Linked DNA regions of Macaca mulatta. The protein of the gene in region 3 purifies or fractionates together with the protein of the main gene of each other region. This does not show direct contact. Links are inferred from orthologs where the notes say so. Each region holds a gene or a part of one and is shown on either strand. Other genes may lie near its edges. The genes, in order: PRPF3, SNRNP200, PRPF19, SNRPD2, SNRPD1, KNSTRN and SNRPA1.

Region 1 (3,500 bases), on a different chromosome or scaffold from region 3:
AATTAGGGCCAGGTGCGGTGGCTCACACCTGTAAACCCAGCACTTTAGGAGGCTGAGGTAGGAGGATCACTTGAGGTCAGGAGTTCAAGACCAGCATGATCAACATGACAAAACCCTGTCTCTACTAAAAGTACAAAAACTAGCCAGGTGTGGTGGTGGGGACCTATAATCCCAGCTACTTGGGAGGCTGAGGCAGGAGAATCGCTTAAACCTGGCCGGGGAGTGAAAGTTGTAGTGAATGAGTGAATGGAGATCGCGCTATTGCACTCCAGCCTAGGTGACAAAAGTGAAACTCCATCTCAAAAAAAAAAAAAGCGACTTTGTTTCCCAGTTTCAACTTTGGGAAACTAACAAAAAGTCCTTTGGAGTTAGCATCCCTCACAGTGGGTAGTGGAGCATATCGCATCTAATAACACACCAAACCAAGAGTTTAGCTCTTGCATTTGCATTTAGCTATGGATGCCATGACAACATGTGGTTCTATAAAAGGAGCAAGCTGAGGGCTGCTTCCTAGGAACAACCAGGGAACTGTAAATGTAAAGCTTCATGAAATTTTTGGGGTTCTTTTTTTTTTAAGAGACAAGGTCTGGCAGTATCACCCAGGCTGGAGTGCAGCAGCGCCATCTCAGCTCACTGCAACTTCTACCTCCCAGGCTCAAGCCATCCTCCACACCTCAGCCTCCCAAGAGGCTGGGACTATAGATGCACGCCACCATGTCCGGCTGATTTTATTTTTTGTAGAGATGGGGTTTTGCTATGCTGCCCAGATCTGGAACTCCTGAGCTCAAGTAATCTGCCTACTTCAGCCTCCCAAAGTGCAGTGATTATAGGCATGAGCCACCATATCCAGCCAAATTATTTTTCCTTGAGATGGGTCTCACTGTGTTGCCCAGACTGGTCTTGAATTCTTGGCCTCAAGCGATCCTCCTGCCGTGGCCTCCCAAAGTGTTTGGATTAGAGGCATGAGCCACCATGCTTGGCTGTCTCATGAAATTCTAAGCACAGGAATATGCACTTAAAATGTATGTTCACTGGTCAAACTACAAACTATTGTTAGGAAAAAAACTGAACTAAAAAAAAAGAATTACACATGGATAGTGGCTACTGTACTGAACAGCACAGATACAGAACATGTTCATCGCTGTATAAATTTCCAGTGGATAATGCTGCTCTAGAGACTTGATTCAGGAATCTATACATTACCTGGAGGATTGAGCTGGGCTGGATGTTCAACAAGATTTGTGATTCCAAAATAATCTTCTCTCTTGGGATTTTCCTCTGTACTAAAATTGTAGGAAGGAAAGAAAACGCGATATGTGGGTAGAGATGATTCTAAGAGAGGAGTCTCAGAAATACAATGAAAAAATCCATTCTCCATAATGGGTTCTTGCGCTTGATATACCTAAAATAGCATTTACGTACCTAAAATATATAATTAAATTACATATAATTTTTATGATGAGAGAACTGAGTCCCTCTATGGTTGAACACACTCTCCACAGCAGTCATTCCCAACCTTTTTTCTACCATGCCACAGCTGATAGATGCTATGTTCTCTCATTAGTGACAATAAGTCCCTGGAACAGTGGCTGACAAAGAATGGGCAAGGAAAGGCTAAGATAAAATCTACTAAAGCCATGTATCAGAATGATGGAACAGGGCCAGGCGCAGTGGCTTATGCCTATAATCCCAGCACTTTGGGACACCCAGGCAGGTGGATCACCTAAGGTCAGGAGTCTGAGACCAGCTTGCCAAACAGTGAAACCCTTCTCTACTAAAAATATAAAAACTGGCCAGGTGTGGTGGTATTTGCCTGTAGTACTGGATACTCAGGAGGCTGAGCTAGGAGAATCGCTTCAACCCAGGAGACAGAGGTTGCAGTGAGCCGAGATCATGTCACTGCACTCCCAGCTCAGACAACAGAGTGAGACTCTGTCTTTAAAAAACAAAAAACAAAACAAAACAAAAAACAGTGGGCGTAGTGACTCATGCCTGTAATCCCAGCACTTTTGGGAGGCTGAGGCAGGTGGATCACCTGAGGTCGGGAGTTCAAGACCAGTCTGACCAACATGGAGAAACCCGTCTCCACTAAAAACACAAAAAATTAGCCAGGCGTGGTGGCGCATGCCTGTAATCTCAGCTACTTGGGAGGCTGAGGCAGGAGAATCACTTGAACCTGTCAGGCGGAGGTTGCAATGAGCCCAGATCGTGCCATTGCACTCCAGCCTGGGCAACAAGAGCGAAACTCTGTCTCAGACAGAAGAAAAAAAAAAAAAGAATGATGGAGCAGATATATTTAAAGCTCCTCAAATGTGTCTTATATCCTTTTTTTTTTTTTTTTTTTTTTTGAGACAGAGTTTCACTCTGTTGTCCAGGCTAGAGTGCAGGGGTCATGGTCATAGCTCACTGCAGCACAGACACTCCTGGGCTTGAGTGATTCTCTCACATCAGCCTCCTGGGTAGCCAACCCACCATGCCCAGCTACTTTTTTTTTCTTTTTTAATTTTTATAGAAATGAGGTCTCACCATATTGCCCAAGCTGGTCTTTAACTCCTGGGCTCAAGCAATCCTTCAGCCCTCAGCCTCCAAAAGTGCTGGAAATAACAGGTGTCAGCCACCAAGCCCAGCCTTATAAGATATATTTACAATTATCTCACCTACCAACTAATAATCCTTGCTCTATCACAATGAGATCTTTAGGAAATGTAAACACCTATAATATGTAGCAAAAGAATGTAATTAAGGAAAATAATGCTAAAAACAGGCAACAATGTGTAACACAGCAAAATTAATTACAGACTTTGCTTTTGTAGATTATTTGTGTCCCTAGTTATCCTACATTAACCCCAAAAGCTAAAAACAACCTATATGATACATCACAAATGCAGGAGCTTGGCCTGGTGCAGTGGCTCATGCCTGTAATCCCAACACTTTGGGAGGCTAAGGCGGGCAGATCACCTGAGGTCAGGAGTTCGAGACCCGCCTGGCCAACATGGCAAAACCCTCTCTCTACCAAAAATACAAAAAGCAGACAGGCGTGGTGGTGCACACCTGTAGTCCCAGCTACTCGGGAGGCTGAGGTTCAAGGAGAATTCAAGGAGAATCTCTTGAACCTGGGAGGTGGAGGTTGCAGTGAGCTGAGATCGTGCCACTGCACTCTAGCCTAGGTGACAGAGTGAGACTCCCTCTCAAAACAAAACAAAACAAAACAAAAAACACAGGAGCTTGTGTACAGTTACTTATCTTTCTTGGATTTTAAAATTTTAATTAATGAATGAGTACCATCCTTCCCACTAGCTTTACTAAAAGGTATTAACTTGAATCTTAAACTCGGCTGATTAAAAACTGTTTTTTTAAAAAGGTACTAAAACAAACTCACAGATCAAAGCCATTGGGAATTATGTAAGAGTCCCACCACTCAATTTCAGGAATATCTCCTTCCTTTAGCTCCTTCTTTGGAGCTATGAGGGCAAGCCTAGTCGAAGTATGGATGCCTGTTT
Region 2 (3,500 bases), on a different chromosome or scaffold from region 3:
CCTCAATGCCAAGACCAAGGTGCGAGGGCTCATCGAGATCATCTCCAATGCGGCAGAGTACGAGAACATTCCCATCCGGCACCATGAAGACAACCTGCTGAGGCAGGTGAGGACGGCAGCTTCAGGAGAACGTCCTGGGAACAACGAACTCTGCCTGTGTGCCCAGAGCACATGGCGTCCCTGCCACCAACACCCCCTTATGCATCCCCCGACCCCCACCATATGTCCTCCCCTCCATACCTCCCTCACACTCATCTCCATCCCACTGCCACCCACGTGCCTCGGGGTGTTGAAGGGCTGTGAGCCTGGGCCATGTGGTGCTTTGGCCTGAGCCAGTCTCAGGCAGGGTCACCTGTTCATCACCAACTATTTTTCTTCCACTTTGTAGTTGGCTCAGAAGGTCCCCCACAAGCTGAATAACCCTAAGTTCAATGATCCGCACGTCAAGACCAACCTGCTCCTGCAGGCTCACCTGTCCCGCATGCAGCTGAGTGCTGAGTTGCAGTCAGATACGGAGGAAATCCTTAGTAAGGTAGGGTGTGGGTGTGGGGCACAGGGGCCAGTGGTGCTCTAGACATCTCAGCTGCAACCCCGCCCACTTTGGTACGCCTTTTCGTGGTAGGCAATCCGGCTTATCCAGGCCTGTGTGGATGTCCTCTCCAGCAATGGGTGGCTCAGCCCTGCTCTGGCAGCCATGGAACTGGCCCAGATGGTCACCCAAGCCATGTGGTCCAAGGACTCCTACCTGAAGCAGCTGCCACACTTCACCTCTGAGCACATCAAACGTTGCACAGACAAGGTGAGCCGGGTCAGCCCAGAGGGTCAGGTGGGTGAGCCTGAGAGCCCAGTGTTGTGGACCGAGGGTGGGTTGCGGGAGGTGGGTCTCAGTGAGTGAAACTTGTAGTTGTGGTTCCTCCGAAGGGGCTCCCTGTTGAGATGCTAGAGAGGCTGCCAACGGTGGGCCGTGTTCTTTCTGCAGCTGTTTTCTCTAGATGACTTGATGGTGTAGGAGGTAAAAGTAGCAGCTCTTGGCGCCTGTGTCATTTGCTGTGGCCTGTGTTCTGTCTTTCCTGACGTCCGAATCCTCACTGCAGGGGGTGGAGAGTGTTTTCGACATCATGGAGATGGAGGATGAAGAACGGAACGCATTGCTTCAGCTGACCGACAGCCAGATTGCAGATGTGGCTCGCTTTTGTAACCGCTACCCTAATATCGAACTGTCTTATGAGGTGGTGGATAAGGACAGCATCCGCAGGTGAGCCAGAGGTGGTACCTGTTGGGCACAGCACGACAGTATGCTGTGAGCCCACTGCCACATCACTGACGTGCGCCCCTCCTCTCCCCCTGCAGTGGCGGGCCAGTTGTGGTGCTGGTGCAGCTGGAGCGAGAGGAGGAAGTCACAGGCCCTGTCATTGCGCCCCTCTTCCCGCAGGTGCGTCCTGGTAACTGGCTTGGCCAGGTGTCAACTCCCCTATCCACTGGCTAGGTGCATGGTGCAAGGGCACTGTCCCTGAGGGAGGGAAACTTTAGACTGATAATGAGCTCACAAGGCTGAGAATTAATCTTGAGGCTATGGGTTTTTTTTTTTTTTCCTTTCGTGTTTGTTTCTGCTTAAACAATTTAGGGCCGGGCACAGTGGCTCACGCCTGTAATCCCAGCACTTTGGGAGGCCAAGGCGGGCAGATCAAGAGGGCAGGAGTTTGAGACCAGCCTGGCCAACATTGTGAAACCTCATCTCTACTAAAAATACAAAAATTAGCTGCACCTGATGGTGGGCACCTGTAGTCCCAGCTACTTGGGAGGCTGAGGCAGGAGAATCACTTGAACCGGGAGGTGGAGGCTGCAGCAAGCTGAGATTGCCCCACTGCACACCAGCCTAGGCAACAATGTGAGACTTCGTCTCAAAAAAAAAAAAAAAAAGTAGATGACTGGTCATTGTGAAACCCGTCAGTCGTGCAGCATTTCCATCTCTCTGGCTGTTTAAGATGCGTTTGTCTTTAACTCCCGTGGCTCCAGGACACTTGGGCTTTCCTGGTGGTTTCTTCTTTTTTCTCACTGCCACTCACTGTGCTTCTGGGTGCTTGGTTTTTTACCAGCAGAAAGAAATTCTGGTTCTCTTTATATGGGAGAAGAATTGAAGGTTGACAGCAGAAACCAGATCCTGTGATATGTAATTCACAGGCTCTGAGTAACGAGTGCTTTTAACTAGGACTCCTGGTCTTTGTGACAGTGGGGCGGCCAGTAGACAGGGCTGCAAGGCCTGCTGGGGATCATCTCTGTGCACATTCAGCTCTGGGTTAAGCTTTTTCTCATCTGGCAGATATGCCCTGGACTTAAAAGTATCTCTAAGGAACTCAAAGCTACCAGGCCCCAAAGACTAGACCTCTAACAGTAGTACCTTGGACTTAGCAGCAGGTTCTAAGCGGGAGAAGGTACCTTGGCACAAGGAAATGAGCCAGAACCAACAAATGAGTTCATCTACTTACTTAAATAATTAAGCCTGTTTGAGAGAACTTTTGACAGTATTAAAATGTTGTATCTAATTGTATTTCGGGAAGAAACTTTGGAAAGCTATCTGATTTTTGTTATTTCTTTTGTAACCGTAACCATTTTCATGGCTGCCTATGGCCATCAAGTTTTACATGCTGAAATTCTTGGTTTTGGATCACTGCAGAAGCGTGAAGAGGGCTGGTGGGTGGTGATTGGAGACGCCAAGTCCAATAGTCTCATCTCCATCAAGAGGCTGACCCTCCAGCAGAAGGCCAAGGTGTGTCCACTGGCGCCAGCATTTGTTCCGGCGTGGGGGAAGGGTGAGAATGCTTACCGTGTCCGTGCTCATAATGATTTCTGCCTGCTCTTTCTAGGTGAAGTTGGACTTTGTGGCCCCAGCCACTGGCGCCCACAACTACACTCTGTACTTCATGAGTGACGCTTACATGGGATGTGACCAGGAGTACAAATTCAGCGTGGATGTGAAAGAAGCTGAGACGGACAGTGATTCAGATTGAGTCCTGAGGCATTTACTCTTGGGTAAAGGAGAGTCGAGCCTGAATTAGCAATGTGTACCTTGTAGGGATCCTGGTTGTGGGGACCAGGTCTGTGGGCCTGAGGTCTGGCCAGCCAGGGCTGGTGCTGTCCCTGCCCACCTCCACTTCCTTTTCCCTTGCTCACTCTGGATCCAGTGACAGCAGGTGTCACGGGTGAAGCATAAATCATATATAGCATTTTCAGGCATGTTCCTGGTAGTTCTTTTGAGTTTGATATTCTAATAAAATAATTTGTAGAAACCATTTGTCTTTGCAGTGATTCCAAATTAAACGTTTTCTTTCTCCAATCTAAGGGCATGGCCAAAAAGATCTGGTTATTTTTTAGCCAGAAACGTGCTTGTAATGAGTACTTCTGGAGGACAGACCTGCTCATTAGGCGTGCTGTCCCCTGTAGCCTTGTGAGTCAGCCTGGAGGAGGGAACATCCGACTGTGGCCTGGCCCCAGTGGTGCCC
Region 3 (3,957 bases):
AGAAAATACAAAATAAATTGATAAGAGGCCACTGGTTTGGACTGAGCTCTTGCGCTAGGCCTAACAGACCAAGCTAAAAAGAGTCCTGCCGAAGTTCCACCCCAATGAGCTGAAACTAAGATCTTTATGACCTTCTGAGAGAGAGTGTGTGTGTGCATGTGTGTTGGCGGGGAGAGCTAAATTCCCAAACAGGCAAGTTTTACATGGCATGATAAAGAAGTACCCTCCACTTTAACCTTTACAAGAAAAGTAATTTTGAGATTACCAAATGACCAATCCCATTTTTGTTCTGTTTCTGTTTTCCTCAGTCCTTTTCTGTCTAAAAAACCAAGCTCCCCTGTTCAGCTCATTGGAACAACCATTAGATTTTATAGTGTAAGGCGCTGCCCAATTTTATAGAATTGCACCCTAAGTCCCAGAGCTACTCTGGAGGCTGAGGCAGAAGGATCACTTGAGCCCAGGAGTTCCAGGATGCACCTGTGATAGCCATGATTGCTACGATTGCACCTGTGAATAGCCACTGCGTTCCAGCCTGGGCAACATTGCCAGAGTCCGTCTCTTAAAAACAAAAACAAAAACAAAACAAAACCAAAAAACAAAAACAAACAAAAAACTTTAAACTAAATTTGTTGTGATTTTGTCTTTTGACAAAGAAGAAAGGGCAGGGAAGCCAATGTGAATTGCCCCAAATCACAGAGCGAAACGGTAGTAGTCAGGACCAAAACGCTGTCTTAGCCGTTTTCTTAGTTCCTGTACCCATCTGCCTCTGTATTTTTAACACCAGGCCATCCAGCAGTGTCTCTTAAAGGGTGGCCCGAGAAACACCTGACTTAGAATAGCGTGGGGCGCAGTCTGTCTACGCAGATCCGAGGAATCTGCATTTTAACAATGGGAAATTGGGAAATTCTCGCGCACACCAAGGTTTCAAAGACCAGGGTCCCGTGACACAGTGCCGCACAGTTGTCAAAACAAGTGCTGTCCAATTGCTTTGGTTTTAAGTTCTCACTGCATCATGGGAAATGTAGTTTCGAGTCTCCTCTCTTCCGACGCCCCCGCCAATCCCCGGGCGCTTTACGGAACGAGCCGAGTCAATCCGGAAATAACCGAGTGTTCGTGGCGGGCCCTTTCCTGCCCGGCTGCATTCTGGGAAAGGTCTATTTCCGTTAGGTGCTGGAGGCAGTGGCGCGCGGCTGTCCCCATTCCCACGTGAAGCGCTACGCGAGCATCGCTCGACTGGCGGCTCCCAGCTCGCAGCTGAGCAGTCCCGGCAGCAGCGGGGGACCGGAAGTGGCTCGCGGAGGCTCAGAAGCCAGTCCCGGAGTCCGGCGTGTGGCGCCTGGGAGCGCGGCAACGGCGCCATGTCCCTAATCTGCTCCAGTGAGTGTTGCCTGCGGCCGAGCGCGGGTCGCAGGAGGCCGGAGAGCGGCGCGGGAGCGTGTGCGGGCCACTGCGGCGCCGGGGCCGGGGCCGGGGTGGAGGCGGGAATGGGGCGCTCCAGAGGCAGAGCGGCGGCCTGTCAGCCCCGGAGCCCTCCCCTCGGAGCGGGGTGCATTTGCGCAGTGCTCCGCAGTTTACATAGTGCCGGAGGTTTATTGTCGCAGGCATTACTGAGGCAGGTCGCCTCATTCTACCGAGTGGAAACAGGCCTGGACAGAGGGAGCTGGTGCAGGGGAAACAGCCTTGATGTAAGAGTCAGGAAACCCGAGGTCTTGTCCAGGGTCCGCCTCCTGTTGGCTTTGTGAATTGGCTTAAGGCTCTGTGCCTCGGTTTCCCCATCTGCAAAATTGAGAGCATTGCACTGGATATTTTGTGAGGCCTTGCTCGGATAGTCGCAGCTTTTGCAATTTGTAAAGGTCACATGATGAGTTAGAGGTAGGCAAGGCTGGCAGCTAGGTATATGGCTCCCAGCCTTACAGTGTATGACTAATTAAAAACAGCGCACATTTATAAAGCCCTTATTGGTTTACAACGCGCTTCCAAGTCTAGGATCTCATTTTATCCTCACAAGAATTCCCTAAAGGAGAAAAGATCCTGGTGTTGCAAATGAGGAGGCAAGGCTCAGGAAGAGCGGGGCTTATCTAAGAATGCGTAGCTAGTCAATGGCAGAGCTGGGTGACGTAGTTAGGTGACACGGAGTTTGGAGCCTGAATCCTTGCTTTTTCCATACCTTCCACTATCTTTCCCTTTGATATTTTATCATGACGTACATACGTTTTCCTTTCCCTTTTCGTTGTTTCATCAGATTACTCGTTTCCCCTCCCTTTTGCTATTCACCTCCGTCTCTTCTCAGAACCTGTACGTTGATCCAGAGAGGGGGAAGAAGGAAGGGAAATGATGGAAAAGGAATCCCTCACATTGAAGAAATTACAGCTCGCAAAGTACCTTCATATTCATTGTTTCCTTCCAGTCTTGGGAAAGCTCTCTTTTACGTTCCCCAGCACTATCTTTCCTGGCAGGGTTCACTCATTCGTTAGATGTTTACCGAGTGCCCCGGGGGCATCTGCATTGTACTGGAAGTGAGAGACCAGCTGTAATCCTTATCCTCAAGGGGCGCACAGTCTATGCAGGCAAGAGTGTAAATGATACCTCTATTGCGGGTTGTTGTGAACATGAATTACTGTACTGTATGCCTAGAATTGTGCTTGGCACATAGACATGTGCCATGTAAATATTTTTATTGTAATGATTGCCACTTTGCTCCTTGGAATCTTCCAGGTGATAAGTGTCTGCCTGTATCCTAATCAGTTGACTGGTAGCTGGCAGACGTCAATAGCTTCAGGATGGGGACTGGTCACCTAGAAAGACTAAAGGGTATTAGAAAGTTGGGATTTTCAGTCCTACCCCCCACTTACCTGGGGAACGAGAGGGGCTGAAGTTGTCACTAGTGACCAGTGATTTATTGAATCATGCCTTTGTAATGAAGTTTTCATAAAAATACAAAAGGGCAGGATTCAAAGAGCTTCTGTATAGCAGAACATGTGGGCGTTCCTGGAGGGTGGGGTGCCCAGGGAGGGCATGGGAAGCTCTGTACTCCTTCTCCCATACCTCATCCTATGCACCTCTTCATCTATACCCTTTGTAATATCCTTTATAATAAACTGGTCAACATAAGTGTTTCCCACAATTCTGTGAGTCACTGTTGAAAATTAATTGAACCCAAAAAGGGGGTCATGGGAACCCTGATTTACAGCTGGTAGATCAGAAGAACAGGTCAAACAACCTGGAGCTTGCGATTGGCATCTGAAGGGGTGGGGGAGTCTGGTGGGACTGAGACCTCAACCCGTGTGATCTGACACTATCTCCAGGTACCTGGTGTCAGAATTGAATTGGAGGACACCCGGATGGTCACATCTGAGGTCACAGAAGTATTTTGTTTTGTGAGAGAATAGGAGAAACTGAGTTTGTTATTCCTATATTCTCAGACTTTATGATTTCTTTGATAATCCCTCTGGAGCTATAGACTAAGATGGATGGAAGGGATTTGAATGGCTTCATGTGTGTCTCCATGTCATGGAGTAAACTGTATTCATAGAGTACACAATCATTGTTCAGATATTAGGTGGCGATAATGGACTGCTGTTCTCTAGGTGCTTGGCACATAGTAGTTGTTAATAATTATTTGTTGACTATCTGATTGTCAGGAGACTAAAGGAAAAGCTAGTTCCACAGCTGGAAAGCATTCTGGGGCCAGTACAGAACTGGCTTAGGGTCAGATGTCTTGCTTTTTGCTAGTTGATTGTGAGGATGCCTAGTCTTGTTGGGGCTAATAGCAGATGAGGAATCCTCTAGGCTCAAGATTGCCTTCACTCCAAGCTCACTGCCGGCCTTTTCTCTACAGTCTCTAATGAAGTGCCGGAGCACCCATGTGTGTCCCCTGTCTCTAATCATGTTTATGAGCGGCGGCTCATTGAGAAGTACATTGCAGAGAATGGTACCGACCCCATCAACAACCAGCCT
Region 4 (2,054 bases), on a different chromosome or scaffold from region 3:
TCAGCACTTCGGGAGGTCGAGGCGGGTGGATCACGAGGTCAGGAAATCAAGACCATCCTGGCCAACGTGGTGAAACCCACTGTCTACTAAAAATACAAAAATTAGCTGGGCGTGGAGGTGGCGCGCGCCTGTAGTCCCAGCTACTCAGGAGGCTGAGGCAGGAGAATCGCTTGAACCCAGGAGGCAGAGGTTGCAGTGAGCTGAGATCGTGCCTCTGCACTCTAGCCTGGCAACAGAGCAAGACTCTGTCTCAAAAAAAAAAAAAAAAGAAAAGAAAAAGAAAATGTCTGTTAGGCATCCAGCTGGTGATACTCAGAAGGCCAAACAGGACGGATGTGATGGGACAAGGCTGGGGAGACATTGAGGCTGAGGCCCTGACCACCCATCCTCACAGCTCCAGCCTCTCTCACTTGTGGGTTCCATGTTTATCCATGCAGGAGCCTCCTCAACAAGCCCAAGAGTGAGATGACCCCAGAGGAGCTGCAGAAGCGAGAGGAGGAGGAATTTAACACGGGTCCACTCTCTGTGCTCACTCAGTCAGTCAAGAACAACACCCAAGTGCTCATCAACTGTCGCAACAATAAGAAACTCCTGGGCCGTGTGAAGGCCTTCGATAGGTGAGTGCTGGGTCCTGGGAGGTGTTCTGTGCAGGCCTAGAGAGGCTGCCCTAGCTCCAGTCTGAAGAGCTCAAAGACAGGTTTCTCAGACGCCTGGGGTGTATGGCCCAGGGTGGTGGCTCATGCCTGTAATTCCAGCACTTTGGGAGGCCAAGGCGGGTGGATCACCTGAGGTCAGGAGTTCGAGACTAGCCTGGCTAACATGGTGAAACGGCATCTCTATTAAAAATATAAAAACCGGGCGTGGTGGTGCACACCTGTATTCACAGCTACTCAGGAGGCCGAGGCACGAGAATTGCCTGAACCCAGGAGGCAGAGGTTGCGGCGAGCTGAAATCGCACCACTGCACTCCAGCCTGGGCAACAGAGCGACACTCTGTCTCAAAAAAAAAAAAGAAAAAAAAAGATAATATTCAACGACCTTGTGAGGAAGGTACTGTGATTGTCTTCCCTCTTAAAGATGAACAAACTGGCACAGAGAGGTGCAGTCCTTTGCCTCAGCCTCAACCTAAGGACTGGCAGAATTGGCCTTGGCAGCTTGGTCATCCAGCCTAGCACCTGCATCCTTCCCCAAGCCATGCTGCTGGAGGGGGCGAGCAGCAGGCAGCGCTGTCAGAGGCACCCCCCTCACACCCAGTGCCTCCCCTCCCTGTTCCCCACCAGGCACTGCAACATGGTGCTGGAGAACGTGAAGGAGATGTGGACTGAGGTCCCTAAGAGCGGCAAGGGCAAGAAGAAATCCAAGCCAGTCAACAAAGACCGCTACATCTCCAAGATGTTCCTGCGTGGGGACTCGGTCATCGTGGTCCTGCGGAACCCGCTCATCGCCGGCAAGTAGGGGCTGCCTATCCATCGACAGAACTCACTCTCTCGTCCTATGAAGACCATTGCCATTGGTGTTGAGAATAATAAAGCTCTGTGGTTTTTTTCTAGTGGTATGTGTTCCCAGAGCCTTGTGAGTGGGGTGGATTCAGGAGGGCTTGGGGGAGGCAGCTAATATCAAATTGAATGCTGGGACCAGGACCCGTGAGCAAGTGGAGAGGCCCTGGCTCTGCCCCATCGAGGCCTCACTTTCCCCCTCCGCAAAGCAAACAGGTTGGATGGAAATGAGCACCCAGTTGTGGCACTGGAGAATATTTTAGTTCTCCTGCTTTAATCTTTCTGAGCTTCGCCTTGTCACTCTGTTGCTCTCTTCTCTGCCTCTTAAAATGAATTGGCCTCGCTTGACCAAAATATCTTTTGGGGCCAGGCATGGTGGCTCACGCCTGTAATCCCAGTAGTTTGGGAGGCTGAGGCGGGCAAATCACCTGACATCGGGAATTCAAGACCAGCCTGGCCAACATGGTGAAATGCTGTCTCTACTAAAAATACAAAGATTGGCCAGGCGCAGTGGCTCACGCCTGTAATCCCAGCACTTTGGGAGGCCAAGGCGGGTGGA
Region 5 (3,968 bases), on a different chromosome or scaffold from region 3:
AATCGCTTGAACCGGGGAGGCAAGGGTTGCAGTGAGCCAAGATCGTGCTACTGCACTCCAGCCTGGGCGACAGAAGGAGACTCTGTCTCAGAAAAACAATAAAAAATTTTGAGGAGATGTTGTGAAAGATGAAGATTGAAAAGTTTGTCTTATAGATCGGAACTTAAAGTGAAAATAATCCGCTACATTGTGTGATTTTATTTTTTTATTTTTATTATTTTTTGAGACGGAGTCTCGCTCTGTTGCCAGGCTGGAGTGCAGTGGCGCGATCTCGGCTCACCGCAACCTCCGCCTCCTGGGTTCAAGCGATTCTCCTGCCTCAGCCTCCCGAGTAACTGGGACTACAGGCGTGTGCCACCACGCCCAGCTAATTTTTGTATTTTTAGTAGAGACAGGGTTTCACCATGTTGGCCAGCACGGTCTTGATTTCTCGACCTCGCTATCTGCCCGCCTCGGACTCCCAAAGTGCTGGAATTACAGGCGTCAGCCACAGCGCCCGGCCCATTGTGTGAATTGCTTCAGGTACATTAAGTAATGCTAAGGTTCCTGGCGTTGGAACAGAATTAGCATAATCCTTTGGGCTTCTCTAAGAACTTATTTTCGTTCAGTGAGGAATTTATATTAGGTGCTGCACTCACGGTGCCCTGCTATTCAGAAACGTGATGGTGACAGTACGTGTGTGTGTGTGCGCGCGCGCGCGCGCGACGGAGTTTCGCTCTTGTTGCCCAGGCAGGAGTGTAGTGGTGCGATCTCGGCTTACTGCAACCTCTGCCTCCCGGGTTCAAGCGATTCTCCTGCCTCAGCCTCCCGAGTAGCTGGGATAACAGGCGCCCGCCACCACATCCGGCTAATTTTTTGTATTTTTAGTACAGACGCGGGTTTCACCCTATTGGCCAGGCTGGTCTTGAACTCCTGACCTCAGGTGATACCCCCGCTTCGGCCTCCCAAAGTGCGACAGTCCTATTAATTGGATTTAATCTCTTCGAATCTCCCTCTCTTGTGGGACACTTTTCCTCTTAGACCAGCCCTCAACACCCTCAGTCGTGGCAAGGCAACCTCCAGCCGCCAGGGGCCGCAGTCGCGCTCCTCGCGACCGGAAGAGAGTGCGGCCCAGCGCAGCCTCGGCGTTTCCGCCGTGCGTCTGCTGTGCTCCGCGCGCCCTTTACGACCGGAGTCCCTGGAGTAGGCGCTTCCGGCCATTCATACTGCAGTCGGTCAGTATTCGGTTGTTGGATTCTGTGCGCTCTCGGACCCGAAGGGTGACGGCGCCGCTAGGATGAAGCTCGTGAGGTGAGGGAGTGACCAAGCAGCTCCGGGGGCTGTGGAGGGAGGGCTTGGCCCGGAGTCCGGAAGGCTGGGCTCTCCCATTTGCAGGAGGCGGGAAAGCCGCGTGTGCGCGGCCTGCTAACGGCCGGCCTTACTGCGCCCGCAGCTCGTGCTCGGGCCTGGGCTTCCGCCTGGGTCGCTCGCGAATCCCGCGTGTCTTCCAAGATACTGGTATAAAGGCCGAGCCTTTTCTTCCCGCCTAGTGACTTAGAGACTTTCAAGGTACAGCGCCGCCTGGGAGACATCTCGCCCTTACAGTTACTGATTTTCTTTTTGAGTGGAGCTCCAGCCCTACTTAAGAGTACTTAGAAAGCTGTATGAGCTTATCTGGAAACAAACCTGTTTGCAAACTGTTTTAAATCAGAGAAGGACTTCTGGCTTCACAAGTTTTTGTTTTTGTTTTTGTTTTAAATAAGACGGTGTCTCACTTTGTTGACCAGGCTGGTCTCGAACTCCTGGGCTAAAGCGTTCTGCCTGCCTTGCCCTCCCAAAGGGCTGAGATTACCGGTGTGAGCCACTGCGCCCGGCCGATTTTTAAGTTTATCTTTTGATTCTCCTTAGACTTATGATTGATTATTCTACCTCTTTCCTGTTAAGGTAAGCTTTTTATTTAGGAAAATCTCCCAATATAGGGCAGAAATTATCACAACGTAATTGTGGCTGATTACCCAGATGATATATAGTTATTCTGTTTTATTTCTTTCGCGAGAAATAGACCCTGTCACTTAGGTGAGTCTTCTGGAGACTAATTCCAAACTACCTGCGAGTAGATTTGGTTTTGGTCTTTTTCCTTGAGACTGAGCCTGGAACAGAGGCAGACGTTTCTAATAACTAAGCCATCGATTATAAATATTTAGCTTGTTTCTTTCCTGTTGAGTCAAGGATTGTCATTATCCGCTAAATAGTTATTGGGCACCTGTTACCTACTGGGCGCTGGTAATAGTATTTTTTAAAAGGCAGATCCTTGTTGGAGCTTTCTAGTTAGGGGGATGACAGACAAGTAGATAACGTCTGAAATAACGTTTGTTTGAAACGTTTTAAATAACACATAAAAGCCTTCAATATTCAGGGAGGAGGCCAGGCGCAGTGGCTCACGCCTATAATCCCAGCACTTTGGGATGTCAAGGCGGGCAGATCACTAGGTCAGGAGTTCGAGACCAGCCTGACCAACATGGTGAAACCCCGTCTCTACTAAAATTACAAAAATTGGCCGGGCGTGGTGGCGCGCGCTTGTAATCCCAGCTACTGAGGAGGCTAAGGCAGGAGAATCGCTTGAACCCAGGAGGCAGAGGTTGCAGTGAGCTGAGATTGGCCACTACGCTCCAGCCTGGGCAACAGAGCGAGACTCCGTTGCAAAAATAAAAAAATAAAAAATAAAAAATTCAGGGAGGAGTTGGTACAAAAGACAATTAAGATTAATTTTTGTTGTATTTTTATTTGAACTATAATTTTGGATAGGAAGTCATAGAATTTAAAGTGCATTTTTTAGGCTGGACGCGGTGGCTCACGCCTGTAATCCCAGCACTTTGGGAAGCTGAGGCAGGCGGATCGCCTGAAGTCAGGAGTTCAGGACCTGCCTGGCCAACGTGGTGAAACCCCGTCTTTCGAAAAAATACAAAAATTAGCCGGGCGCCTGTAATCCCAGCTACTCAGGAGGCTGAGGTAAGAGAGGCGCTTGATCCCGGGAGGTTGTAGTGAGCCGACGTCACACCACTGTGCTCCAGCCTGGGCAACAGAGCGAGACTCTGTCTCAAAAAAGAAAATTACAACATTTTTTGAAATTTCTCCATACCAGCCGGGCGCGGTGGCTCAAGCCTGTAATCCCAGCACTTTGGGAGGCCGAGACGGGCGGATCACGAGGTCAGGAGATCGAGACCATCCTGGCTAACGCGGTGAAACCCCGTTTCTACTAAAAATACAAAAAACTAGCCGGGCGAGGTGGCGGGCGCCTGTAGTCCCAGCTACTCCGGAGGCTGAGGCAGGAGAATGGCGTGAACCTGGGAGGCGGAGCTTGCAGTGAGCTGAGATCCGGCCACTGCACTCCAGCCTGGGCTTCAGAGCAAGACTCCGTCTCAAAAAAAAAAAAAAAAAAAAAAAAAAAGAAATTTCTCCATACCTGCTAATCTGAATCTTAATCTACTCATAGTTCAATTTTATGTAATACACCTTGGATTTCATTTGTTCCCTTTAAATATATTGCATGTTATGGCAATTTTCCAGTAATTTTTAATACCTGGACTGAATCCTGTTTTGTGTCTTAGGTCAAATATAGAAAGAAAATTTTTTTCTTACCAGAGAATGTATTTTTCCTCCAGAAAATGATTGTTTGACTAACTGGTTTGCGTTTTCAGTAGACTTATTTCTGTATATCAGTTGGTAGTTGTCATCCTTATTCTCACTGTCACCCTAACCAAAAACCTGGGAGGTGAGCTTGACTTTTTCTCTACTGATGTCCTTGACATTTGATACACTGCCAGTTTTACCTACTGCATAAAAGTGTCCCACATTTTCCTGTTTGTTTTTTGGGTTCAGATAGTGTGTTTTGATACTGAGGGACACCGTGTTATCTGACTATTTGATATCTAAGTTTCACTAAGTAGAAAGAATTCAGATACTGAAAGATTCGTCTGAAAATAAGTTGA
Region 6 (3,500 bases), on a different chromosome or scaffold from region 3:
AAGGGCAGAAAAAAAAAAAAAAACAGGCTTTTGCTATGGCTGTCCAAGAGCAAGGGCAAGAAAGGGCGACCACCCCTAGGGATTGGGACAGTTCCTGATCTGTCTGTGCGGTGCTCCAACAGGGAGAGCTGAAGGACCTGACCCAAAAGGTAGAGCTGCTGGAGAAGTTTCGGGACAACTGTTTGGCAATTTTGGAGAGCAAGGGCCTTGATCCAGGTAAGAGATAGCACACAGCTAGCTGTCTTTGAAGGGATCAGTGCATGTGTCCCTTCCTGGGTTGATCTTGGCAGCATGGCATCAGCTGGCCCAGTAAGTGCAGGGGTTACTTCAGTAAAGCCCTAAAGATTTTGGAGAGCTTCTGTTTGTTTTCATGTGATGTTGATTTTTGCCTGGCCAATAGAATTTCAGAGGATTATATAGAGAGAAGGTTATCTCTTTCTTACCTGAACACTTTATGCCAACAGGTATGACCTTGCAAGTAGATGAGAAATATTTTGTTCCTTTCAAGGGAGAATATTTTCTGTCTCTTCCCATTTGGGAAAGTTACTAGTGTGCTTGAAAGGAACATTTTGTTTGAACATGTTCTTCCTCGCAAGCATACTAGTAACTTCTCAAATGGGAAGAGACAGAAAATACTACTTCAAGCATTCTTAAACCTGGCTAATCAGTAGAATTACAGTGACTAAAAAATGACTACTGTTACCCTGTCCCCCAGAGAGCAGAATCTGTAGCAAAGAGAGCAGTAGAAAGAATTGTCCAAAGACTATAAGAGGGCCTCAGCCTGAGTCAAAGAGCTAGAGAATGCCCAGGAAATGGGCCCAGGCCTTTTTGTATTAAGGAATACTGACTTTGAATGTTACTGGTTAATCTTTAGGTTACAGGTGAGGATATTCTTTTTTTTTTTTGAGATGGAGTCTCACTCCGTTGCCCAGGCTGGAGTGCAGTGGCGTGATCTCAGCTCACTGAAACCTCCTCCTCCTGAGTTCAAGTGATTCTTGTGCCTTAGCCTCGTGAGTAACTGGGATTACAGGCATGTACCACTATACACAACTAATTTTTGTATTTTTAGTAGAGACAGGGTTTCGCCATGTTGGCCAGGCTGGTCTCAAACTCCTGACCTCAAGTGATCTGCCTGCCTCAGCCTCCCAGAGTACTGGGATTACAGACATGAGTCACCATGCCCGACCTGGGATATTCTTTATAGTCACTGTAAAATACATATTTTTATTTGTTTGTTTGTTTGTTTTTTGAGACGGAGTCTCGGTCTGTCGCCCAGGCTGGAGTGCAGTGGCGCGATCTCGGCTCACTGCAAGCTCCGCCTCCTGGGTTTACGCGATTCTCCTGCCTCAGCCTCCTGAGTAGCTGGGACTACAGGCGCCCGCCACCGCGCCCGGCTAATTTTTTGTATTTTTAGTAGAGACGGGGTTTCACCGTGGTCTCGATCTCCTGACCTTGTGATCCGCCCGCCTCGGCCTCCCAAAGTGCTGGGATTACAGGCGTGAGCCACCGCGCCCGGCCAAATACATATTTTTAAATTTAAATTTTTTTTTTTTTTTTTTTTTGAGATGGGATCTCGCTATGTTGCCCAGGCTGGCCTCCAACTCCTGGGCTCAAGCAATCCTTCTGAGTAGCTGGGACTACAGGTATGCGTCACCACAACTGACACCATAAATATTTTGTATGATTTTAATTTATTACATGCATGTGATATTACCAAAAGTAATAATTTTTAAGGCCTGAAAGGCTCTTAAATTGTGAACAAAACCAAAAAATCCAACCTATACATTTCCTTTGGACAAATTGTCCACTGACCTAAGGAGAAAGTATACAGAATTTTTGGCCATATCCAAACCTAGATTGAAAGGAGATAAAATGCAGTTCTGCAGGGCAGATGTGGGTGACCCTGCCAAGGTGAAAACTTGGGAGAAAGTCCGGGATTAGACACTTAAGAGAAATTCCCCTCATGAATATTTCTGTACTTGTTCATGGAGGGTTTTTATTTTTTTTTGTTTAAAGTGTGTAGTTCCCTAAGTGAAGTTGACTTTGTTGTATCCGTCAGCTTTAGGCAGTGAGACCCTGGCATCACGACAAGAATCTACTACCGATCACATGGACTCTATGGTGAGGGAATGGGTGCAAAAGGGCACAAGGGCTGAGTGACTGTGGGGCTCTGTAAATCTAAGAAGGTCTCTGCTATATGTTCCATAAACCCCAAGAAACAACCTTTGATTATCTGCGATGGTAGAAAAGACAAATGGAACATGCACTCAAAATAGCATATTTTACTTGAAAGGTAGCTTTGTGCTTACAAATATAGGTAAGTCTGAATTGAAAATTTAAAACACGTGGGGCCTGGCGCGGTGGCTCACGCCTGTAATCCCAGCACTTTGGGAGGCTGAGGCGGGTGGATCACGAGGTCAGGAGATCGAGACCATCCTGGCTAACACAGTGAAACCCCGTCTCTGCTAAAAAACACAAAAAACTAGCCGGGCAAGGTGGCGGGCGCCTGTAGTCCCAGCTACTCGGGAGGCTGAGGCAGGAGAATGGTGTCAACCCAGGAGGCAGAGCTTGCAGTGAGCTGAGATCTGGCCACTGCACTCCAGCCTGGGCGACAGAGCGAGACTCTGTCTCAAAAAAAAAGAAAAAAAAAAAGAAAAAAGAAAATTTAAAACACGTGATAGGTAAACCTGTAGAGAGAGCTTTCTGGTTCCTCTGTTCTATACTGTATCAAATTTCCTGACTCCTTTGTTGAGAACTGTGTGGAAGGGATGTCAGCCATCATCTAATGCAGGTCTGGTTTTATATGAAGATTTGTTTACTACATTGTACTTTCCTCTTAGTTGCTGTTAGAAACTTTGCAAGAGGAGCTGAAGCTTTTTAATGAAACAGCCAAAAAGCAGATGGAGGAGTTACAGGTGAGAGGCAGACATCACCCTGACCATTTTCTACCACGATAGGTAGATTTCTTTCCTGTTTTTCTTTTTATTTTTAATAAACTTGCTAAATAATTTTAGATTTATAGGAAAGTTACAAAGATAATACAGAAAATTTACCCTGATACTTTTTTTTTTTTTTTAATTTCCAACTTTTAAGTTCAGGGGTACATGGACAGGGTGTGCAGGTTTGTTACAAGGTAAACATGTGCCATGGTGGTTTACTGCACAGATCATCCCATCACCTAGGTATTGAGCCCAGCATCTATTAGCTATTCTTCTTGATGCACTCCCTCCCCCAACCCCCAACAGTAACATCTTACATTATCCTGGTACATTTGTCAAAACTAAGAAATCAGCCAGGCATGGTGGCTCATGCCTGTAATCCCAGCACTTTGGGAGGCTGAGGTAGAAGGATTACTTGAAGCCAGGAGTTTGAGACCAGCCTGGGAAACATAGCGAGATCCCATCTCTGCAAAATAAAATTTAGAAAATAGCCAGGTGTGGTGGAAGGCAGAGGTTGCAGTGAGTCGAGATGGTGCCATTGCACTCCAGCCTGGGCAACAC
Region 7 (4,229 bases), on a different chromosome or scaffold from region 3:
AAATATTTTTTAAAAATATAAAAATTAAATTAAAAAAACCATGTAGGTTTAACCGGTAGTACGTGCTACAGCTTCTTCAGGGAACACTGCAACATTTACCCTAGGGGGAAAAAATTACTTTCCCCTATAGGCACTTACCATATTCTGTTGTTGTTCACTAACAATGTTTTCAGTCTTCTCAACAAAGGAAAACCATCCAGTTTCCTGATCTCATTGTCAGAAAAATCAATAGCATCAAACTGGTCTAATGTAGCACCTAGATTTTCAATGACGGGAATTTTATACCCTGTAAAATGGAGGAAAAAAAAACACACAAGAGGTATTAATATAACTAAACAGCCCCTTAAAACATTAGCAGTATTTCATAGTATCTGATTCCAGGCTTTGATTTATTCAGGAAGCATTACCTAGCACCTATGCCATGTCATACATGCCTTGCCACTGTACAAGATACTAGAGAGAAAATGCTGAACGAGTCTCAAGTACCCAGTGCCATGAAGCTTACAATCTAATGACAACAAGGACAAGAACAATAATAATGGGTGATATAGGTAGCTAACATTTATAAGAACATTTACAAGGTGCCTCACACTGTTCTAAGTCATTTGGGCTAGTTAAGCGGAATCCGCACAACAGGAATTTACACTTTGAGCTGCTTAGTCTCAGTGCCCAAACAGCGTTCAAACATTGTGGATAACAGTTCTCCACTCTTGCATCTCCACGGGCCAGATTCTTAGAACCCATCAGAACAGCCTCAAGATATGACAGTTCTCCCTCCCCTCCCCCAGCTACAATTTAGAGTTGAAGAACTCAATGGTTTACATAGAGTAATAAACCTGTGAACACTCAAATGTTAATTTGTCCAATTTGAGCATAATTACTGTGTTAGGCACTATAAGAAAAGAAATATTCTGAAGAAGCAAGGTCTACTAAAAAAGAATTCACCCAAAGTTAAAGGGCACAATTCAGAGCTATACTACACGTATTGCATCAAAATATGTATTCTCAATATTGCACGTACTCCATAAAGAGAAATGGCAGAGATCATCAAAAGTGGTGAGTTGGGCCGGGCGCAATGGCTCAAGCCTGTAATCCCAGCACTTTGGGAGACCGCGGAGGACGGATCACCTGAGGTCGGGAGTTCGAGACCACCCTGACCAACATGGAGAAACCCTGTCTTTACTAAAAATACAAAATTAGCCGGGCGTGATGGCGCAGGCCTGTAATCCCAGCTACTCGGGAGGTTGAGGCAGGAGAATCGCTTGAACCCGGGAGGCAGAGGTTGCAGTGAGCTGACATCGCGCCATTGCACTCTAGCCTGGGCAACAACAGCGAAACTCCGTCTCAAAAAAAAAAAAAAAAAAAAAAAAAAGTGGTGAGTTGCTCTTGAACTGAACCTTTCTCTAACAAACTTAATTTCAACAAAATAAAAATACTGGGGGCCGAGCGCAGTGGTTCACGTCTTAATCCCAGCACTCTGGGAGGCCGGCGGAGGCGGATCACCTGAGGTCAGGAATTCGAGACTAGCCTGACTAACATGGCGAAACCCCGTCTCTACTAAAAATACAAAAATCAGCCAGGCGTGGTGGCTCACGCCTGTAATCCCAACAACTCGGGAGGCTTGAGGCACAGGAATCACTTGAACCGGGGAGGTGGAGGTTGCAGTGAGGCGAGACCACACCACTGCACGCCAGCTGGGGTGAAAGAGCGAGACTCCATCACAACACAACACAACACAACACAACACAACACAACACAACGGGATTTCCCAAAGGTCAGCAAGAAATCTAAGCAGAACACAACACACAACACAACACAACGGGATTTCCCAAAGGTCAGCAAGAAATCTAAGCAGATCCCGCAGCGATGCTGCTCCAAAGCCATAGGTCCCCGTGGGAACAAATCTCAGGCTACGGCTGCATGGTCTTATCCCCAGAGAAGTTGCTCTTCACATCCTTTTTAAAGTCGTCTCCTGAAATGCCAACTAGCTAGCTGCCCTCCCAATATCTTACCAAGTCTTGCTAAGGTTGAAATAGTACAGGAATCTGAATAATTGCGAGCGCTTCCACAACTTACACACAGCACAGGGCTGTGCAAACCTGGGTCACACAGTTCAATTTTTAAAACGTCTTCATAAAGGGGAAACGCCAGACAAAGGTACTAAGTAGAAAATACTGGGGGAAACAATCGCTGTTGTTCGGGGACTTGGTTTCCTCCCTCACATTAGGAACAACGAACACATATCCCATCTACGCTCAAAATATCGTCTGGCGGCAAGTATTAAGAACCAATCACTCGCCCTGCACTAGCGTTACAACCATTAACGAGCCGCTCTTCCGGGCCCTCAAACAGAGCCAACTGCGAAACAGCCAAGCAAGGCCTAATAGAGCCCCACGAGTATGCACCAGGAAGTAATGAAGTCACTCGTGCCTGTCAAGAGGCACGGCGGTAAGAGAAGGCTCCAAGAGCCTAACGGGATGCTCATTTGGCAACAACGGCAAGAATCAGGCCCCGCGTTCCCTGCGCAGCCCGGTCGGAGCCCAGACAACCGGCCCGCGGGCCAAGCTCCGGCCTTCGGTGCACGCGGCAGAGCGCGGATAATAAGGCGACGCGGTGCCGCCCGGGGGCTGGCCGCCCACGCCCTCGGACTCACCTCGGAGGTCCAGCTCCCGGTCGCGCACCGCGTTGGTGTACTGCGCCGCCTGCTCGATCAGCTCCGCCGTCAGCTTGACCATCCTGCTGCCTCCCGTCTCCTCGCGCCGTGGAAAGCCCGTGGCCTCCCGCCAGCGAGACGTCCCAGCGTGCCCCGCGCCCCACCGCCAGGCAGCACCAATCGCAGCCCCCGAGTGCGCGCGCAGCTCGCCCGCCAGGCCGAAGCAATGGAAGAGCCACGCCTTCGGGGTCGTTCTTGCCGGAAGTCTTGCCGGGCGCGCAGGGGCTGTGTCTGGTTCTGGGTTCTTTCCTGGGGTGTGTTTGGAGTCTGGAGAACCTATGATTCCAGACGTTGGTGTTTAAAAGTTAAGGCGAATGTGGAAACATCCGAGGGGAACTTTTTCATGCATTAGCGCACCTTGAGGTGGGACGGGAAGCTGTGACTGCTCTCCCTCCACCAGCCGGCGCGGGGACCCGTGGGGTTCAGTGAAGGGTCCAGGAGTTCAGGTACCCGTCCTGGGCCTGGGCCTGGGCCTTGGCTCCGGGTTACAGTGTGAGATCCCGGGCTAGGTGGCCCGCCTGGGGCAGGTCGCCGGGACAACCCCACAGCTCCGCAAGTCCAACCTGGCCTAGGGCATGGTAGGGTTTGCGGTTAAGCTTGTGGCCTTTAGACTTCTGAATATTCATATGAAGTATGATATACAGAAAAGTGTGCATATGATGAATTTACAGCGTGATTAATGACCAGAGTGAACACAACTGCTTAGCCGACACCGAGATCCAAAAAACCACTATTCTGAAAGCCTTCCTCTTTCCCAAAGGCAACCGCGAACTCAACACTACAGATTCGTTTTGCTTGCTTTTGATATAAATAGAATCATGCAGTATGCTTTTTTTGGCCTAGTTTCTTTGAGTCTATATTATGTCTGGAGTCCATCCAGGTTGCCTACAGAGATGGTTTGTTTGCTTTCGCTGCTGAAGAGAGTTCCATTGTATATATTATACCATAAATTACTTATTCTGCTGTTGATGGACATCAAAGTTGTTTTCTGTTTAGGGCTATTCTGAGTAATGCTGCTATGAATTTTCTGGTACGTGGATCTGATGCACATTTGCATGAGTTTTTCCTGGAGTGGAATTGCTGGGACATAGGGTATTATATCTATCATCAATAAGTAATGCCCAACAGTTATACTAAGAGGCTGAAATAATATACACACTCCAGCGGTGTGTAAGGGTTTTCATGGCTTCCAGCTTCAGGCTTGTTTGCATTTTAAGTCTATAACTTTAGCTATTCTGATGGGTGTGTGGTGGTATTGCACTACTGCTTTGCTTTTCTCTAATAACTAATGAAGCTGAGAACTTTCTCATGTGTATGGTGCCCATTCTGATAGCTTCCTTTGTGAAGTGTTCTTTCGAGTCCTTGGCTCATTTTTTTCCTTATGGAGTTGTCTGCCTTTTTTCTTATTGATTCTTGGAATTTCTTTATATATTAGGCATATGAACACACGCTGTGGCTTGCCTTTTCACTCTTAATGGTGTTGTTTGATTAGAATTTTTTTTTTTTTTTTTTAAGA

What was found.
Region 1: the proteins of PRPF19 (region 3) and PRPF3 fractionate together in Homo sapiens (co-fractionation; 3 studies listed by BioGRID, with this or other methods). This does not show direct contact. The link is inferred for Macaca mulatta from reciprocal best matches to the Homo sapiens genes PRPF19 and PRPF3.
Region 2: the proteins of PRPF19 (region 3) and SNRNP200 purify together in Homo sapiens (affinity purification with mass spectrometry; 3 studies listed by BioGRID and IntAct, counting the BioPlex papers as one, with this or other methods). This does not show direct contact. The link is inferred for Macaca mulatta from reciprocal best matches to the Homo sapiens genes PRPF19 and SNRNP200.
Region 4: the proteins of PRPF19 (region 3) and SNRPD2 fractionate together in Homo sapiens (co-fractionation; 3 studies listed by BioGRID). This does not show direct contact. The link is inferred for Macaca mulatta from reciprocal best matches to the Homo sapiens genes PRPF19 and SNRPD2.
Region 5: the proteins of PRPF19 (region 3) and SNRPD1 fractionate together in Homo sapiens (co-fractionation; 3 studies listed by BioGRID). This does not show direct contact. The link is inferred for Macaca mulatta from reciprocal best matches to the Homo sapiens genes PRPF19 and SNRPD1.
Region 6: the proteins of PRPF19 (region 3) and KNSTRN purify together in Homo sapiens (affinity purification with mass spectrometry; 4 studies listed by BioGRID and IntAct, counting the BioPlex papers as one, with this or other methods). This does not show direct contact. The link is inferred for Macaca mulatta from reciprocal best matches to the Homo sapiens genes PRPF19 and KNSTRN.
Region 7: the proteins of PRPF19 (region 3) and SNRPA1 fractionate together in Homo sapiens (co-fractionation; 3 studies listed by BioGRID). This does not show direct contact. The link is inferred for Macaca mulatta from reciprocal best matches to the Homo sapiens genes PRPF19 and SNRPA1.

Annotation. Positions count from the first base shown.
Region 1 is NC_133406.1:116,795,743-116,799,242, forward strand, and holds part of PRPF3 (U4/U6 small nuclear ribonucleoprotein Prp3), read right to left. Parts: coding exon 3,380-3,500; intron 1,284-3,379; coding exon 1,204-1,283; intron 1-1,203. UniProt on the Homo sapiens protein: Plays a role in pre-mRNA splicing as component of the U4/U6-U5 tri-snRNP complex that is involved in spliceosome assembly, and as component of the precatalytic spliceosome (spliceosome B complex).
Region 2 is NC_133418.1:5,010,829-5,014,328, reverse strand, and holds the end of SNRNP200 (U5 small nuclear ribonucleoprotein 200 kDa helicase), read left to right. Parts: coding exon 1-106; intron 107-388; coding exon 389-532; intron 533-622; coding exon 623-799; intron 800-1,094; coding exon 1,095-1,255; intron 1,256-1,350; coding exon 1,351-1,432; intron 1,433-2,674; coding exon 2,675-2,767; intron 2,768-2,864; coding exon 2,865-3,008; 3' UTR 3,009-3,287; downstream 3,288-3,500. UniProt on the Homo sapiens protein: Catalyzes the ATP-dependent unwinding of U4/U6 RNA duplices, an essential step in the assembly of a catalytically active spliceosome. Plays a role in pre-mRNA splicing as a core component of precatalytic, catalytic and postcatalytic spliceosomal complexes.
Region 3 is NC_133419.1:13,166,190-13,170,146, forward strand, and holds the start of PRPF19 (pre-mRNA-processing factor 19), read left to right. Parts: upstream 1-1,157; 5' UTR 1,158-1,358; coding exon 1,359-1,377; intron 1,378-2,290; exon of another isoform or gene 2,291-2,378; intron 2,379-3,838; coding exon 3,839-3,957. UniProt on the Homo sapiens protein: Ubiquitin-protein ligase which is a core component of several complexes mainly involved pre-mRNA splicing and DNA repair. Required for pre-mRNA splicing as component of the spliceosome.
Region 4 is NC_133424.1:58,224,554-58,226,607, reverse strand, and holds the end of SNRPD2 (small nuclear ribonucleoprotein Sm D2), read left to right. Parts: intron 1-302; exon of another isoform or gene 303-437; coding exon 438-617; intron 618-1,253; coding exon of another isoform or gene 1,254-1,279; coding exon 1,280-1,454; 3' UTR 1,455-1,554; downstream 1,555-2,054. UniProt on the Homo sapiens protein: Plays a role in pre-mRNA splicing as a core component of the spliceosomal U1, U2, U4 and U5 small nuclear ribonucleoproteins (snRNPs), the building blocks of the spliceosome.
Region 5 is NC_133423.1:70,797,268-70,801,235, reverse strand, and holds the start of SNRPD1 (small nuclear ribonucleoprotein Sm D1), read left to right. Parts: upstream 1-1,168; 5' UTR 1,169-1,276; coding exon 1,277-1,290; intron 1,291-3,968. UniProt on the Homo sapiens protein: Plays a role in pre-mRNA splicing as a core component of the spliceosomal U1, U2, U4 and U5 small nuclear ribonucleoproteins (snRNPs), the building blocks of the spliceosome.
Region 6 is NC_133412.1:17,701,216-17,704,715, forward strand, and holds part of KNSTRN (small kinetochore-associated protein), read left to right. Parts: intron 1-122; coding exon 123-216; intron 217-2,059; coding exon 2,060-2,121; intron 2,122-2,840; coding exon 2,841-2,915; intron 2,916-3,500. UniProt on the Homo sapiens protein: Essential component of the mitotic spindle required for faithful chromosome segregation and progression into anaphase.
Region 7 is NC_133412.1:91,654,048-91,658,276, forward strand, and holds the start of SNRPA1 (U2 small nuclear ribonucleoprotein A'), read right to left. Parts: upstream 2,801-4,229; 5' UTR 2,736-2,800; coding exon 2,654-2,735; intron 287-2,653; coding exon 139-286; intron 1-138. UniProt on the Homo sapiens protein: Involved in pre-mRNA splicing as component of the spliceosome. Associated with sn-RNP U2, where it contributes to the binding of stem loop IV of U2 snRNA.